Arabidopsis thaliana: one gene and its partner. The protein of the gene in region 2 interacts with the protein of the main gene of each other region in a pairwise test. Each region holds a gene or a part of one and is shown on either strand. Other genes may lie near its edges.

Evidence for each region.
Region 1: the proteins of TIP1 (region 2) and CESA6 interact in a two-hybrid assay, tested with the Arabidopsis thaliana proteins (one study listed by BioGRID).

Annotation. Positions count from the first base shown.
Region 1 is NC_003076.8:25,879,266-25,887,190, forward strand, and holds CESA6 (cellulose synthase 6), read left to right. Parts: upstream 1-1,767; 5' UTR 1,768-2,289; coding exon 2,290-2,370; intron 2,371-2,764; coding exon 2,765-2,960; intron 2,961-3,048; coding exon 3,049-3,251; intron 3,252-3,334; coding exon 3,335-3,612; intron 3,613-3,694; coding exon 3,695-3,961; intron 3,962-4,044; coding exon 4,045-4,390; intron 4,391-4,577; coding exon 4,578-4,715; intron 4,716-4,801; coding exon 4,802-4,927; intron 4,928-5,038; coding exon 5,039-5,251; intron 5,252-5,334; coding exon 5,335-5,611; intron 5,612-5,696; coding exon 5,697-5,893; intron 5,894-5,975; coding exon 5,976-6,326; intron 6,327-6,486; coding exon 6,487-7,068; 3' UTR 7,069-7,463; downstream 7,464-7,925. UniProt on the Arabidopsis thaliana protein: Catalytic subunit of cellulose synthase terminal complexes ('rosettes'), required for beta-1,4-glucan microfibril crystallization, a major mechanism of the cell wall formation. Involved in the primary cell wall formation.
Region 2 is NC_003076.8:6,874,391-6,882,177, reverse strand, and holds TIP1 (Ankyrin repeat family protein with DHHC zinc finger domain-containing protein), read right to left. Parts: upstream 5,738-7,787; 5' UTR 5,407-5,737; coding exon 5,149-5,406; intron 5,045-5,148; coding exon 4,904-5,044; intron 4,783-4,903; coding exon 4,670-4,782; intron 4,175-4,669; coding exon 4,095-4,174; intron 3,994-4,094; coding exon 3,830-3,993; intron 3,526-3,829; coding exon 3,387-3,525; intron 3,289-3,386; coding exon 3,189-3,288; intron 2,824-3,188; coding exon 2,766-2,823; intron 2,643-2,765; coding exon 2,565-2,642; intron 2,457-2,564; coding exon 2,358-2,456; intron 2,006-2,357; coding exon 1,927-2,005; intron 1,832-1,926; coding exon 1,683-1,831; intron 1,481-1,682; coding exon 1,076-1,480; 3' UTR 672-1,075; downstream 1-671. Other genes in the region: Phox3 (Octicosapeptide/Phox/Bem1p (PB1) domain-containing protein / tetratricopeptide repeat (TPR)-containing protein), read left to right, coding at 1-57; BG5 (beta-1,3-glucanase 5), read right to left, coding at 6,327-7,391.

The DNA of each region.
Region 1 (7,925 bases), about 19 Mb from region 2:
AACCAAAGTAATGTAAACTATACATAAGCGAAAATTTAAACGTTTTTCTATTCTATAGTCTTGAAAATTAAAACAATATTTACTAGGAAAAAGAATAATATAAGGGCACCGACAGTTTCTATAAGAACATGTGGCACGAGGGCTTGGAGAAGACAGTACACAGCATTCAATCAATCATGAAAACGACATTTGATGTGGTAACCTACTAAAGTTCGATCTTTTTTTATGAAAGTTTCTTAATATTTCTTTAATTTCCGGACTATATCTATCAACAAGTCAAAAGATTAAAAAAAATCAACAAGCAAAATACTGTTAAAATATTGTTTTATATATACCACGAACTATTTGTCGGCAAATGTATACATATAGTATAGACATCATACATGGGCAAATCGCATATATTTGTGTGATGTGATACCATAGTCTCAATAATTTGAACATTTTTCTCTTATTTAAGCACGGAGGAAAAATTAGCTATATGGCGACTTGGCGAGTGGAGCCAAGATTAAAAAAAAAAAAAGCATGTTATTTAAAAATATGGTAGACATAACATACAAAAAAATATAGTAAAATAAACAGAACTGATTGAACAAAAGAGAGTGATCAAAGTTGAAAAATAATTTAACTATAAAAACTAAAAAGAAAATTATCAGAGGATGGAGATATTAAACTAATAAAAATGTAATTAAATAAGTAAACTATAAATTAAATAAGTAAAAAATTAAACGTAATTAGAAGGAACAAAAAAAACTAGAAAAGTAAAAACATAAGAGAGGAAGGAGGGAAGCAAAAGTGAAAACCAATGCAGTCAACAGTCAAAAACCATGATACAGTCCATGCGTAGAACATAATTAACTTAAGCAATAAATTTAATAAGTAAAAAATTAAACGTAATTAGAAGGAACAAAAAAAAAGTATATAAAAAATTAGAAGGAACAAAAAAAAAAACTAGAAAATAGGATCTTGGACACGATGCTTACAGATTGTTTTTTGTCTGGGAAGTAAATGCCCATATCTGTTTCTCGACATTTTGAAGTCTCTCTAACAAAATAATTAGAGGAATTAAGAACTTGATTGTGTAACTTTTTTTTTAATCTTAAATTAAGATAATACTATTTCATTACAACTATTATTTTCTTGCACATGTTGCAAGAACGTGAGAGTGTACGCAGACAAATAATTAAAACGAAAATAAAATTATAATGATTATATACAATCTCGGCTATCAATTGATTAATAGAGAAAATTGACTAACCACTCTGAATTGGCTCAAAATGTAGTTATTAATTCAAACCGAGTTTCACTTCATTTATATTATTTTCATTTTTTAACTTTAAAATATATATATTTAATAAACCAAATATGATCTAAACTAAATCTAAAAGGCTCCATCCAAAGTAGATTTGATTTTACTATATATTTAAAACATGTATGGTAGGAAAATTTAACCGAAACCAAATTAAACACATTTTAGGGTGAAGAAAATCACCCAAAAAAAAAAGGTGACTTTTTTTTGTAACAAAACAAAAGACCTAAAGTTTAGAGACAAAATAAAATGTTAGGGTGATTCAATGCATCACATAATACAGTATTGTTAATAATTAATGGCTAATAATAATGTGTGTTTGGAAGTTTTTACTAATCTCTTCTTTACAACAACAAGTGGAGTGGAAGAGAGAGATACACACAAGGTTTAATGGGTCCCACATTCTTTTACTTCTCAAAATTTAATTACTAATTTTATCTAATTTTGGTGCTCTTTTTCCTCATCTACATAATTGCCTTTAATTATCTCACACCATTTAACTAATCACTGATTCTCTTCTTCCTTACGCGTTTGTACTTAACCCCCTTTTATCATCATTTCGCAGGCTTGCGTCTGTCTCTCTCTCTCTCTCCACCATTGACTCTCTCTCTCTCTCTCGCTCTGGAATCATCCTTTATTTCTGTGACTGTGTGCACTTTCAGAGAGGAGAGAGAGGCCCAAAACCAAAAGAAAAGAAAAGGTTGTGGCTTGCAGCTGAATCAATACCATCTCCATATATACAATACACCTTCACTATTCCCCCTTTTGTATTTTTATTATATTTTTCCCATCAAAGTCTGTTTTTTTAGACTCCGGTTTGCCGCTTTGTGTGTGTGTGAGAGAGAGAAAGAGAGCTATCTATCCTCTGATTTATGGTCTCTGGATCTCTGACAATCGAGTTGAGTTAATTACAACACATTCCTCTCTTTCTCAATCGATCTGTGAAATCCAAGATTGTTAGCTGTGTCTGTTTTCAGACAAATATGAACACCGGTGGTCGGTTAATCGCCGGTTCTCACAACAGGAATGAGTTTGTCCTCATTAATGCCGATGAGAATGCCCGAGTATGTTTCTCCTCTTCTTTTGTTTCCAATTCTCTGTCTTTTGATCTGTGTTTCTCTATCTCTGTTCAAAAGTCTCTGACTTTTTTTACTTTTCTTGTGGATCTGGCTCTTACCACTGCAAATCAATTAAGATTTAGGGTTTTTAGTACTAGTATTAAGATTACGTACCCTTGTAGCTAATTTTATCAAGAATTGATTGTGTCGGTGGGATGGATTTTTCCGGATTTGACTTGTCTTAATTCTCCAATTTAAGAGATTTCTTCAATTGCAATTATGAATCTATCAATGTGAAGAGTAATAATTATGTTATTGGGTTACTTTGATCTGGTGTGAGATCCAGTCTGATAGTGTCACTACTATGATCTGATGTATTTAACTCTACTGTTTTGTGCAGATAAGATCAGTCCAAGAGCTGAGTGGACAGACATGTCAAATCTGCAGAGATGAGATCGAATTGACTGTTGATGGAGAACCGTTTGTGGCATGTAACGAATGTGCATTCCCTGTGTGTAGACCTTGCTATGAGTACGAAAGACGAGAAGGCAATCAAGCTTGTCCACAGTGCAAAACCCGTTTCAAACGTCTTAAAGGTTCGTTGTTTGTTAGACCAAATTTCTTTGGTTTTTTGTGAATGTAGAAGATTTTCTGATTTGTTCGGCCTATGTTGTTGTTTGTTAGGAAGTCCAAGAGTTGAAGGTGATGAAGAGGAAGATGACATTGATGATTTAGACAATGAGTTTGAGTATGGAAATAATGGGATTGGATTTGATCAGGTTTCTGAAGGTATGTCAATCTCTCGTCGCAACTCCGGTTTCCCACAATCTGATTTGGATTCAGCTCCACCTGGCTCTCAGATTCCATTGCTGACTTACGGCGACGAGGTAAAAATCTCAGAATGTATCCACATTGTATAACCCATCTTCAGTAATTGGCTCACTCAGATTTCTCTTTTGTTTTATTACAGGACGTTGAGATTTCTTCTGATAGACATGCTCTTATTGTTCCTCCTTCACTTGGTGGTCATGGCAATAGAGTTCATCCTGTTTCTCTTTCTGACCCGACCGTGGCTGCACATCCAAGGCCTATGGTACCTCAGAAAGATCTTGCGGTTTATGGTTATGGAAGTGTCGCTTGGAAAGATCGGATGGAGGAATGGAAGAGAAAGCAGAATGAGAAACTTCAGGTTGTTAGGCATGAAGGAGATCCTGATTTTGAAGATGGTGATGATGCTGATTTTCCAATGTAAGGCAAAGAATATAATTTTTTTTGTTGATGTCTTGTTCCGTTGCAGTGATATTTATCAAGCCTTTTTTTTCCATTTTAGGATGGATGAGGGAAGGCAGCCATTGTCTAGGAAGATACCAATCAAATCGAGCAAGATAAATCCTTACCGGATGTTAATTGTGCTACGTCTTGTGATTCTTGGTCTCTTCTTTCACTACCGTATTCTTCACCCCGTCAAAGATGCATATGCTTTGTGGCTTATTTCTGTTATATGTGAGATATGGTTTGCTGTTTCATGGGTTCTTGATCAGTTCCCTAAATGGTACCCTATCGAGCGAGAAACGTACTTGGACCGACTCTCATTAAGGTACTTACATCTTGTGGGTTATTACACTTGGAAATGTTAAAACTTTGTTTTGGGGATATAATCCTTATTTTTTTTGTTTGCAGATATGAGAAAGAAGGGAAACCGTCGGGACTATCCCCTGTGGATGTATTTGTTAGTACAGTGGATCCATTGAAAGAGCCTCCGCTTATTACTGCAAATACTGTCTTGTCTATTCTTGCTGTTGATTATCCTGTCGATAAGGTTGCTTGTTACGTATCTGATGATGGTGCTGCTATGCTTACTTTCGAAGCTCTTTCTGAGACCGCTGAATTCGCAAGGAAATGGGTTCCTTTCTGCAAGAAATATTGTATTGAGCCTCGTGCTCCCGAATGGTATTTCTGCCATAAAATGGACTACTTGAAGAATAAAGTTCATCCCGCATTTGTTAGGGAGCGGCGAGCCATGAAGGTTACTAGTTCTTACTTTTTTATAAATTTGATTTGATGAGAAAAGTTTTGGTCTAATTGATTCTTGCTTTAGAAAAAAAAAATTCATGAGAAAAGTTATCAATCTTTTGTTATATGGGCTCTTATGAAAGAAGATGGTGGCTTTGAAAATTGATTTGAAAGATTGTGTGTTTTACTGGTTTTGACAGAGAGATTATGAAGAATTCAAAGTAAAGATCAATGCTTTAGTAGCAACAGCACAGAAAGTGCCTGAGGATGGTTGGACTATGCAAGACGGTACACCTTGGCCCGGTAATAGTGTGCGAGATCATCCTGGCATGATTCAGGTGAGTTTCAAATGCTTCTTATTTCTGAAAAGCCTTCTTATGTGTTGTCCTTCAAAATTTAATTATACTTTGTTTTCTTGTTAAAGGTCTTCCTTGGAAGTGACGGTGTTCGTGATGTCGAAAACAACGAGTTGCCTCGATTAGTTTACGTTTCTCGTGAGAAGAGACCCGGATTTGATCACCATAAGAAGGCTGGAGCTATGAATTCCCTGGTAAATGATATACTTTTTAAAGCTCTAAACCTTCTTCTTTGTAAATTACGTCTTGCCATTTATTGAAATGGTTCCTGACTCTTGATTTCATCTACAAAACTTTTGTTGAAGATACGAGTCTCTGGGGTTCTATCAAATGCTCCTTACCTTCTGAATGTCGATTGTGATCACTACATCAACAATAGCAAAGCTCTTAGAGAAGCAATGTGTTTCATGATGGATCCTCAGTCAGGAAAGAAAATCTGTTATGTTCAGTTCCCTCAAAGGTTCGATGGGATTGATAGGCACGATCGATACTCAAATCGCAATGTTGTGTTCTTTGATGTAAGTACAGCCACCACTTTCCTATTGTATCCCTTTTTCTTGAGATTTCTGTAGAATACCAACTAATGAATCTTTATTTACAGATCAATATGAAAGGTTTGGATGGGCTACAAGGGCCTATATACGTCGGTACAGGTTGTGTTTTCAGGAGGCAAGCGCTTTACGGATTTGATGCACCGAAGAAGAAGAAGGGCCCACGTAAGACATGCAATTGCTGGCCAAAATGGTGTCTCCTATGTTTTGGTTCAAGAAAGAATCGTAAAGCAAAGACAGTGGCTGCGGATAAGAAGAAGAAGAATAGGGAAGCGTCAAAGCAGATCCACGCATTAGAAAATATCGAAGAGGGCCGCGTCACTAAAGGTATCATACAAATCCTGTTTGTTGTTAAACTCTTTCGTTAGTCGGTGCATTTTACTAAAAAAATAAAATTTAAAAAACATTCTAGGTTCTAACGTAGAACAGTCAACCGAGGCAATGCAAATGAAGTTGGAGAAGAAATTTGGGCAGTCTCCTGTATTTGTTGCATCTGCGCGTATGGAGAATGGTGGGATGGCTAGAAACGCAAGCCCGGCTTGTCTGCTTAAAGAAGCCATCCAAGTCATTAGTTGCGGATATGAAGATAAAACTGAATGGGGAAAAGAGGTAAGCAGCCGGTTTTAAACCTTTGTTGTGTTTATTCAATCAATTCTTGATTTTGATGATGACCTTGTGAAAAAAATCTCAGATTGGGTGGATCTATGGTTCTGTTACCGAAGATATTCTTACGGGTTTTAAGATGCATTCTCATGGTTGGAGATCTGTTTATTGTACACCAAAGTTAGCGGCTTTCAAAGGATCAGCTCCAATCAATCTTTCGGATCGTCTCCATCAAGTTCTTCGATGGGCGCTTGGGTCGGTTGAGATTTTCTTGAGTAGGCATTGTCCTATTTGGTATGGTTATGGAGGTGGGTTGAAATGGCTTGAGCGGTTGTCCTACATTAACTCTGTGGTTTACCCGTGGACCTCTCTACCGCTCATCGTTTACTGTTCTCTCCCTGCCATCTGTCTTCTCACTGGAAAATTCATCGTTCCCGAGGTAAAACAATCATCTTGAGTTCTCAAAATATGAATCTTTATTTCACGTTTTGTGCTTATTCATTTTCCTTGCCACTGGGGGTTAAAAGTATCATATGAATCTTTATTCCAAGTTGTGTGTTTTAAGACCGGAAAACGATTCTTGTTCCTTCTTTTTCCAGATTAGCAACTATGCGAGTATCCTCTTCATGGCGCTCTTCTCGTCGATTGCAATAACGGGTATTCTCGAGATGCAATGGGGCAAAGTTGGGATCGATGATTGGTGGAGAAACGAACAGTTTTGGGTCATTGGAGGTGTTTCTGCGCATCTGTTTGCTCTCTTCCAAGGTCTCCTCAAGGTTCTTGCTGGTGTCGACACTAACTTCACAGTCACATCAAAAGCAGCTGATGATGGAGAGTTCTCTGACCTTTACCTCTTCAAATGGACTTCACTTCTCATCCCTCCAATGACTCTACTCATCATAAACGTCATTGGAGTCATAGTCGGAGTCTCTGATGCCATCAGCAATGGATACGACTCGTGGGGACCGCTTTTCGGAAGACTGTTCTTTGCACTTTGGGTCATCATTCATCTTTACCCGTTCCTTAAAGGTTTGCTTGGGAAACAAGATAGAATGCCAACCATTATTGTCGTCTGGTCCATCCTCCTGGCCTCGATTCTTACACTTCTTTGGGTCCGGGTTAATCCGTTTGTGGCGAAAGGCGGTCCTATTCTCGAGATCTGTGGTTTAGACTGCTTGTGATTCGATTGACCGGTGGATGGGTTGGTGAAAAAGGTTTAATTCCCACGGATCAAAGAGAGGTAAGAGAGATATTGTTTTACCTCTAAAAGACTCCTTCATTGTGTTCATTAGATGATGAAAAATGAAAAGAAAAAGAAGATTTAATTTTGTTACGAGAATTGTTATTTTTGCAAGAATGTGTTGTAGATATAGAGATGAAGAAGAAAGTTGTTGTCTATTTGTTTTGTTCTTTGGTGGTGAGAGAAAAAAGATTTGTCAAATTATTCTTTAATTGAATATTTCTGATCTCTTTTGAATATTACAGAAGAGCATTTTCAATCTGTAATCTTTTATGATTAAAGAACTTTGATTTATTTTCACTAATTTCCCTATCTTATTTCTTGTTTGAAAAATTAATTTACTCGAGGTTTGATTGGTTTTGATTTTCAATCCGCATGCTTGGAGACGTTTTAAAGCATCCATTAAAAATGTTACCAAACCTTAGAAAATTACGAACTTGATCAGAGTGGCCCAAAACAAATTATACAGGCCCAATACAGGCCCGAATCTACACAGCCTTTTACACTTTTATTGGTTCTGTTTTGACAAGTGACATGGTGCTTTCATCATATCTGCAGAGGGCAGCACTCAGATTGGTTAGTCTTTTTGGTTAGAGAATTTTGAAAACTTTTTTGTTTCTCATTTGTAAGTGTCACTACGCAAAGTAATTTAATATTTTTGTATCGTTCTAGTTTTATTAAAATGTCTACACATAGATACCAGAAAGAGGACTTTAATTTCGAGTCATTTTTGAAATAAAAGTTTCTAATTTTGTCACATTTCAGCAAAAATACTCGTGTGTATATGTAATGTCTACT
Region 2 (7,787 bases):
AAGAGAAGGGCTGAAAATATATTTCATGTGCCAAATATAGCAATCCAACGTGGTTGAAGCGGTTTCCATGACAAAGTGTCTCAGAATGATTTTGGTCATTATCTTGATCAAGCTTCATTTCAAGGTACATATATAATCTCACGAAATTGTTAGGTCTGACTTCTGAGGAACTAAATGTTGTTGGCCAGTGTTAGGGCTGAACCTTATGTTCAAGATGATAAAGAAACTTAATCAGACCAGACTATACTTAGTCCATTTCATTTCATTGTCCAGACTATGCTCTGTCATAACTACCTAACTTTTATTTTACTTATTGCGACTGTTATAGGCAATGCTTTTACTTCTTTGACCTGAACCAATAAGTGTTCACATTCTGGATACCACTTGGGTTTGAAATCATCAGCTAACCACAAAATCTCTCTTTGCAGGTTTTTGTCTTGTTGTGGTACAACCAAATTCAGATTTTTGTAGACAGAAAAAAACATATATGTTCTATTTTGTTTGTGTAACATTTATACCATTGATTTTGGTGAGGGGTGAAGCAAAGATATCATGCAGATTCTTCTTCTGCCACAGGGTGAGTTGTGACTTTATTCATTGGTTTATGACTCAGATTGCATTTGGCGTGAAACATTCATACACAAACAACAAATTGTTTTTTTTTTCTTTTTTTTTTCATTTTCTATTTTTGGGCCCTTAGCAAGATTTTGGTGCGGAGTCAGTCATTGTCTTGTAATTCGTTGTTACATATAAAATTTAATGATGTTTTTGTTACATATAAGCAAGTCGTATCAGTGTATTGACGGAGTCAAACTTCCATACCTCAGCCAGAAAACATAATGTACAACCATTTCTGTTATATTCTCTGTGTCATTGAGTAAACTGAATTCAACCAATAAGAAAATATACTCTAAAAATAATTGATAAGAAACATGACATTTAATTTTTGCATAGAAAATTGAAAACAAGGGAGTATTACTATCTTCACATGAAACGGATAATGATGTAATCAATGACTCGAGGAGAGAAAACGTGTTTCTTACAACACAAATGCACATTTGGGACACGGGCCATATTATGGAGATACAACAGGTCGGGTTGGGTTGCGGCTAAGACCAAGTCCCAAACCCAAAGGAACATTGTCACTCTTTGACTTACTATTATGGCTATGGCTGCAGTTGGCAGAATGAACATGTGCTGACTGTGAATTATGTGTCGGGTTAACATCGATAGCAACATGGCCATTGCCATTTTGAAGATTTGGATTCCGCTGCATCTGCATCATGCTAATACCCTCTGGTCTCTGTGTTGCGTCTTCTTCATGACACTCAATATCTTCGTTATAACCTTTTACTAAGAAGTCCGAGCAGTTTCTTCTGCACCCGAGATCATAAGGATTCCTAAACCGACCACCTGGACCTCTTAGGTAGCTGTACCGCAGGGCGTTGGCCATTTCATTTGTGGTTATGTTCCTTGATATCTGTAAGGGAAAATAGGGAGAATGGATCTTCAGGATGAGGCAAAACACCACGCCATGAAAATCGAATAATCTAGTCTACTTAGTGAGTTTTAGCTCTGGAGCTATTCTAGAGATGAGTAATCCGGGGAAGCAAAGTACGAAAGAGCAGCCTTTGTATGAGGAACAAAGATGTGCAGATAAGGAAAAAGGAATGAGGGCTCACTTGTGACGCTTGTATGACTGTTAAGACGGCGACAGAAAAGAAGAGGCAGAATTCCACTAGCAGAAAGGATAAAGCACCCACATGATTACTAGCGACATGGCTCATCCATGCTCCAAAAGAAGATGGAGCTGAAGGGTCACTCAAGACTCCTGCATGTAGATAATACAACATTTACATTTTTGTCCGAAAGTTTTCTCTACATTTACATATAATGATTAAAGGGCATTTTCCACTACAAACATACTTGCAAGAGTGACGCCACCAGTTATCAGCATCGCTAGAACTTCAAGTAGAAGAAAAAGAAAAAATTCCCACTTGTTTTTCTGCAAAATAGGTTGGAAAACAAGGACAATCCACAGATTAGTATCACAGACTAGTATCATGCTCGAGCTGCAAGACTAACAAATCAAACCACTAGCAACCAAAATAAATAGAAGAGGTGATATGACACCAAGAAGCATATCTGTTGATCTGTATACCCAAATATGCAACACAAATATACCACTAAGCATTTTCGAAAAGAACTGTAAGTTAGGTCACACCAAAAGAGACAATGAAGAGCAAGGCAGATTTAGTTTATATGAAATGTTAGTATCAAACAAAAGCCTGATCCGTCTACTCCTATTTTGCCAACTTCTATGTCAAAAACTAAAATAGGAAAGGAACTGTACTTACTTTTCCAACACAATTTGATACCCAAGGACAATGGTGATCAAATTGCTCTACACAACGATCACAGGTGGAACAGTGCTTAGCTCGAAGAGGTCTGATAATCTGAATAAAATGAAACACAGTGGACCAAAACAAGTAAATATGTAGCATCGATGATTAAGTATGGTGTTAAGATTGAAGAAAGACATAAAACGGAATTTGAGCAGGTACCTTGCATGTTGCACAGAGCTGTGTCCAATTCCCAGCAAGCAAAGCAGGATTGTTTAGCTCTATTTTTAAGAGTGGTTCCTGTAAAGGGGTAAGAAAACCAGTCAGACACTTGAACAAGAAAATAGTACTCAAAATCATACCGAACCGGATATAATATGGACAATTATGTAAGTTAAACTTGAGAATCAATAAGCTACTAACATCATCTTTCATGGTTTGCGGATCATGGATATTCATTCTGATGTAACCTGGATCCTTCCTGCAGAAAAAATAAAATTACAATATAAAACAATAAGAAAACCCGCTTCTTGTGATACAAAGGTATTTACACTACATGGAAAAATAAGGAGTTCACAATAGAAACTACAGCTGGAACGAAGTAAAGGCCTTAAAATCCCAAACTGCTATCGCTAGGTGATGAATGAAACCATGAAGAGAATCGGCTTAGAATACTATAATGTAATATCTTAATCTGCAACCGTCAGGTGAAATATAAGAAATTTATGCATAGTGAAGAGCCAAAGATACACTATACTAATAATCAGATAACAACAGAGAGCAGACATGGCTACTTTTAGAAGATATACGAAATGGAAATCGAGGAAGGACAGGGTGAGCATATACCTGCTACAGCGGTAGAACAAAAATAATCCTGCAGTTGCAAGAATGAATCCCAGCCATGCAAGCGCACCAATCCCAGTCGTTAACTTTGGCAGATTGGATGCTGCAATGGTCAAAGGGTTCATAAAATGATAGGCATGCATAGAACAGTTACTTGATATGATGCAGACAAAGGAGAATTGAGAAGGCCAAGGTAACTACCCAAAACAACCGAATTCGTATATACGAGCAGAAGCAGCAGGATCATGATCCAAAGAACTGGAGCGAGTCCCAACTTTGACAATCTTCCGAGGGGACTGCTTCCGTCACAACGCTTTTCAAGCAGGCTTCGAGCATTACCCTGCACAGTAGCGTTTATAAGACAGATTCAGACAAATATCGACACAATTTTCTCAATAATTTAAGCATAATGCTGCTCATTTTGAATGGATAAGAAAATCTACAGACTTGGAAAAACTAACATAGTACAGCTATAAGTAGAGTTAACTACACCAGGTATGCAAAGGTCAAATGAGATGCACATAACTGCCAATAAAATGATTCAACTACTAATTATTGCAAGCAGTACAGCCACTACGAAAGCATCAAATCAAACAGTATGAATACATATTGCTACACAACAAACAAGTAAAACAGATACCTACAAGGAAAAAAGAAACTTGTCTGTGATTCTTTTCAGCAGCAAGTTGCGCAGGGGTTAGCCCAGTCTTGTCAGTAATCATCAAATCCTCTTTCTTTCCAGCCTGCACCAAGACAGTGCAAGCCTCCAAATTACCTCGGATGGCAGCCCAATGCAGAGGAGTGCAACCTGATAACAGAATCAATATAACGGAGAAGATGTTAGAAACGTATAGTTAATCTAAGAAAATAAACAAAGAAGATTTAAAAAAAAAATATGTTTGTAACCACCTTCTTTGTCTTGTCGTCCTCTATATGCATCTAGAAATAAAAGTAGGCGAATGGAATCTGCAAAACCTTTATATGCAGCCCTGAATTTCTCAAATTATGAGAAGAATATAAAGACGAAATTAGAACTGTCTTCTGAAAAGATACTGTAAAAATAGGATAAAATCAAAAGGTCAACATAAGAAAGCTAAAAATCATGCAGTAGAATAATCCATGTAACGGTAACGAAGTCTCAGTAAGAAAAACGGGAGAGAAAATAACCTATGTAACCTTAGTCTCTAGATGGAAAACAGTAATACGTATTCACAAATCTTCATAACAAAAACTCGAGAACTATCATAGGCAAATAGTTGACAAAAATTAATTCTAATCCACCCAGTATACTTGGCAACTAGAACAAAATTGAACGAAGAGATATTAAATCTATAGGAATAATAAGAAAAGGGAACAAATAAAACCAATTATCCAGTCTCCAAATAAGCGTGCAAGGCTAAACAATTGTAAGAAAAAATAAAAAGAAGCCAAAAACCAATTACTAAGTAACAATTTCACGAAGGCAAGCTTTGCAGCAAGCATACCAATGCAAGGGGCTTCTTCCATCATTATCAGGCACGTCAGGATCAGCATTCCACTTTGAGACAACGTGACAAAGAAAAGCAGTCTGGCCATACTGTGCGGCAACATGTGTTGCCTACAAGCAGTTCAAAATTAAGTATTAACATACACCCATTGAGAACTAAACAAGAAAAGAAGGGAAATTTGATAGAAGTCAGCAGAGAACATGGACGCGTAGTTAAAGAAGAGATATGAACCTGATAGCCATACATATCCGTTGCATCTACTCTTGCACCCTCTTGTAATAACAGTTCTGCAACTTGTATCGCACCACGAACAGCACTCCAATGCAATGCAGTCTGTCCAGTATGATCCGTCGCGTTTACATCTCCACCATGCTGGAAAAACCAGAAATCGAGAAGGATCAGTTTTAGAAACTTGAAAACCACTAGTTCAAATCTAATTTAGCAATCAACAAACAATTCGTAAAATGACACAAAACCTCGATAAGGTACTGGGCAACGGCGACGCGGTTGTTCAAGGCAGACCACTGAAGAGCATAGTAGCCAAGAGCATCAGGCTCGGAAACAGAGGAACCCTCACACTCAACCAATCTATGAAGCTTCTCCAAATCACCATAAGCGGCAGCAGTATAGACATCGTTCTTCAAGCTCTCTTCTTCAATCCCTTTAGAACTCGATTCCCCATTCTCCTTGGGATTCGATTGGATTTCTTCCACCACCTCAATCTCCGATGACATTTTTTTCTTTTCTCAGAAGAAATTGAGATCGATCGAGATTCGATTCCCTCCCTAATGGATTTTGACCTTTGATTAGTCTCCCCCGAGCATAAATAAGTCGTGAGATTTGGGGGGAAATGAGGGAAGGAGCTAGGTTTTTTCTGGGGGAATCAGAGGAAGAAGAAGAAGAAGAATATGATTGACGAACTCAAAAAATTGACTAAGAATCGGATTAAGACGGGTCAGAGACAGACTTGCTCTCAATTCTTATCGTTCATTCATTTCATTAACTTTTTTTTGTCAAACAAAACCCAACATTATTTTATTTTTTGGTTTTAGTGTTAACCAAAAAAAAAAAAACCAACATTTATAAATTGATTAATTTCATGATCATTTTTTTTTGTATGTAATGGGAAATATTATACCTGGCTAGTTGAGTGATATATATATAGTTCAATGGAATATGAACGAATCAAAACATCTGTCTTAATCATAAGAGATACTTTTTCATTTTTCATATCTTGACAAAAAGAGTTATATTATAAATGTTAAGAAATCTTTTATAAAACCTTGAACTATTGAATCATTTTGGGACAGTGATTTCTTATTTTGATAAAAAAAACACTGGTTTGCATATATATATAAAAAAAGTATTATTTTGAAAATGCATACTCTTGTATTAATAGATGAAGAAACATAATGGAATGATTTTAGAAGAAAAAAAAATATATGAAGAAACATAGTACGTTTACTAAACCAGAGAAATTGCTTTTAAATAATAATAATTTTACAAAAGTCAACTAAGTTCCGCGACGAGATCTCATCATCTCAGTTGCTTATAGTATGTGTATATATCACTGTTAGTTTTACTTTAATTCACTAACAACTAGTGTAACATAATTATTGATGAATCGGGAAAGTCTAAGCAACTTTCACACATATTAGAATAGATTGTAGATGGGCTTCATATCATTCGGATTGTATAACCCAAAGTTTTGTTCAGTCCCGACCGGCTTTTGATTTTCATTGAAAGTTGCAAACAAAAACCCGTCGATGCCTTTGTTAGGCCTTTTAGGTGTACCTTTTCCGCTTGCTATATGCTTCACGAAATTTCTGTTATAGGTACCCGCGATATCCGGCGTGGTAATGTTTCCATTCCCGGCAGATGGCCATCCGGTCTCGGACACCACCATTGGTAAATCTTTAACGCCTTCCTTCTCCATTGCCCACACGAACGCATCAAAGATTGCATCAAACATGTTTGAATAGCCCAGTGATCCATCTTGTACCACGATGGCCTCAGTGTTGAAGGTGGCATAGTCCAAACGGATGCTAGATGGGTCGGACGCATAGGAGAAGTAAGGGTAGATTTTTACGAGGATAGGCGAATTTGTTTGGGATAATAGTTTCAGCACGGGGACAAGTTGTTCACGCGCTTGAGACGTGAACATTCCTGCGGAAGGTGGGTATGATTGCTCGAGGTTCCACATAGCCACCACCGTGCTTATCGAGATAGGAAGATTCCTTGACTTGACGAGGTTGGTGAGAGACTGCATGACTGGAAGCACTTGAGGACCGATTGGTCCGGGGATGACTTCGTTACCAACAGTAATGAACGCGATGTTGATGTCGGATAAGTAAGGCTCGATGTTGGTCGCAAACCAGCCCTTAACAGCTTCTTCGCTAGCTGAAAGAGCAGCCAAGTCCTGGTCCCTAACTCCTACTGTGACCGCAATATCACGATGGCCACGTAAAGCGTTAAGAACCTCAGTGTTTGGGTCGAAGATTCGGATTTTAGTGATGTCTATGGACTTGTAAAGGGTTATAACTTTTGACGGAGATGGGAGGTTATCTCCGAGGAGACCGTAGTTCAAGCCAATGCTATTTGCTGCGTTTACGAAGCCAATGCTATTTGCTGCGTTTACGAAGTCACTATTGTTGTAGTTGACAATCACCACAATGCACGAGAAGAAGAACAAGAAGAGTTTCTTAGGCAAATAGAGCATGATGAAACTTTTTTTCTGCAAAATGTGTGTATATAGAGATATCCTAAGATCGTACTTCTATGAAGAAGAAGAAGAGAACCAAACTTGATTTGTGTTATTATGTTTTGTTGCAAAATATTTGTTTGCATATATAGATGCATATCTGAGTCTATTTTCAGTCTTATTGGTATGAATAAAATAGTAAAATTCTTTTATTTTGGTTCTTGGTGTAATCTTAGCCCTCGATCTATTTACAAATTTGGTGTTTTCTTTTTTAACTAGTTACTTTCTATTTACATTTTATTGTTTAACTGAATCTTACTATTCCATAACAAACTGAAATCAACCCAATTGAATTTTGTTGTCTAGAAGAAACGTATCCAAAAATACAGGAATTTTGAGTACATAAATAATTAA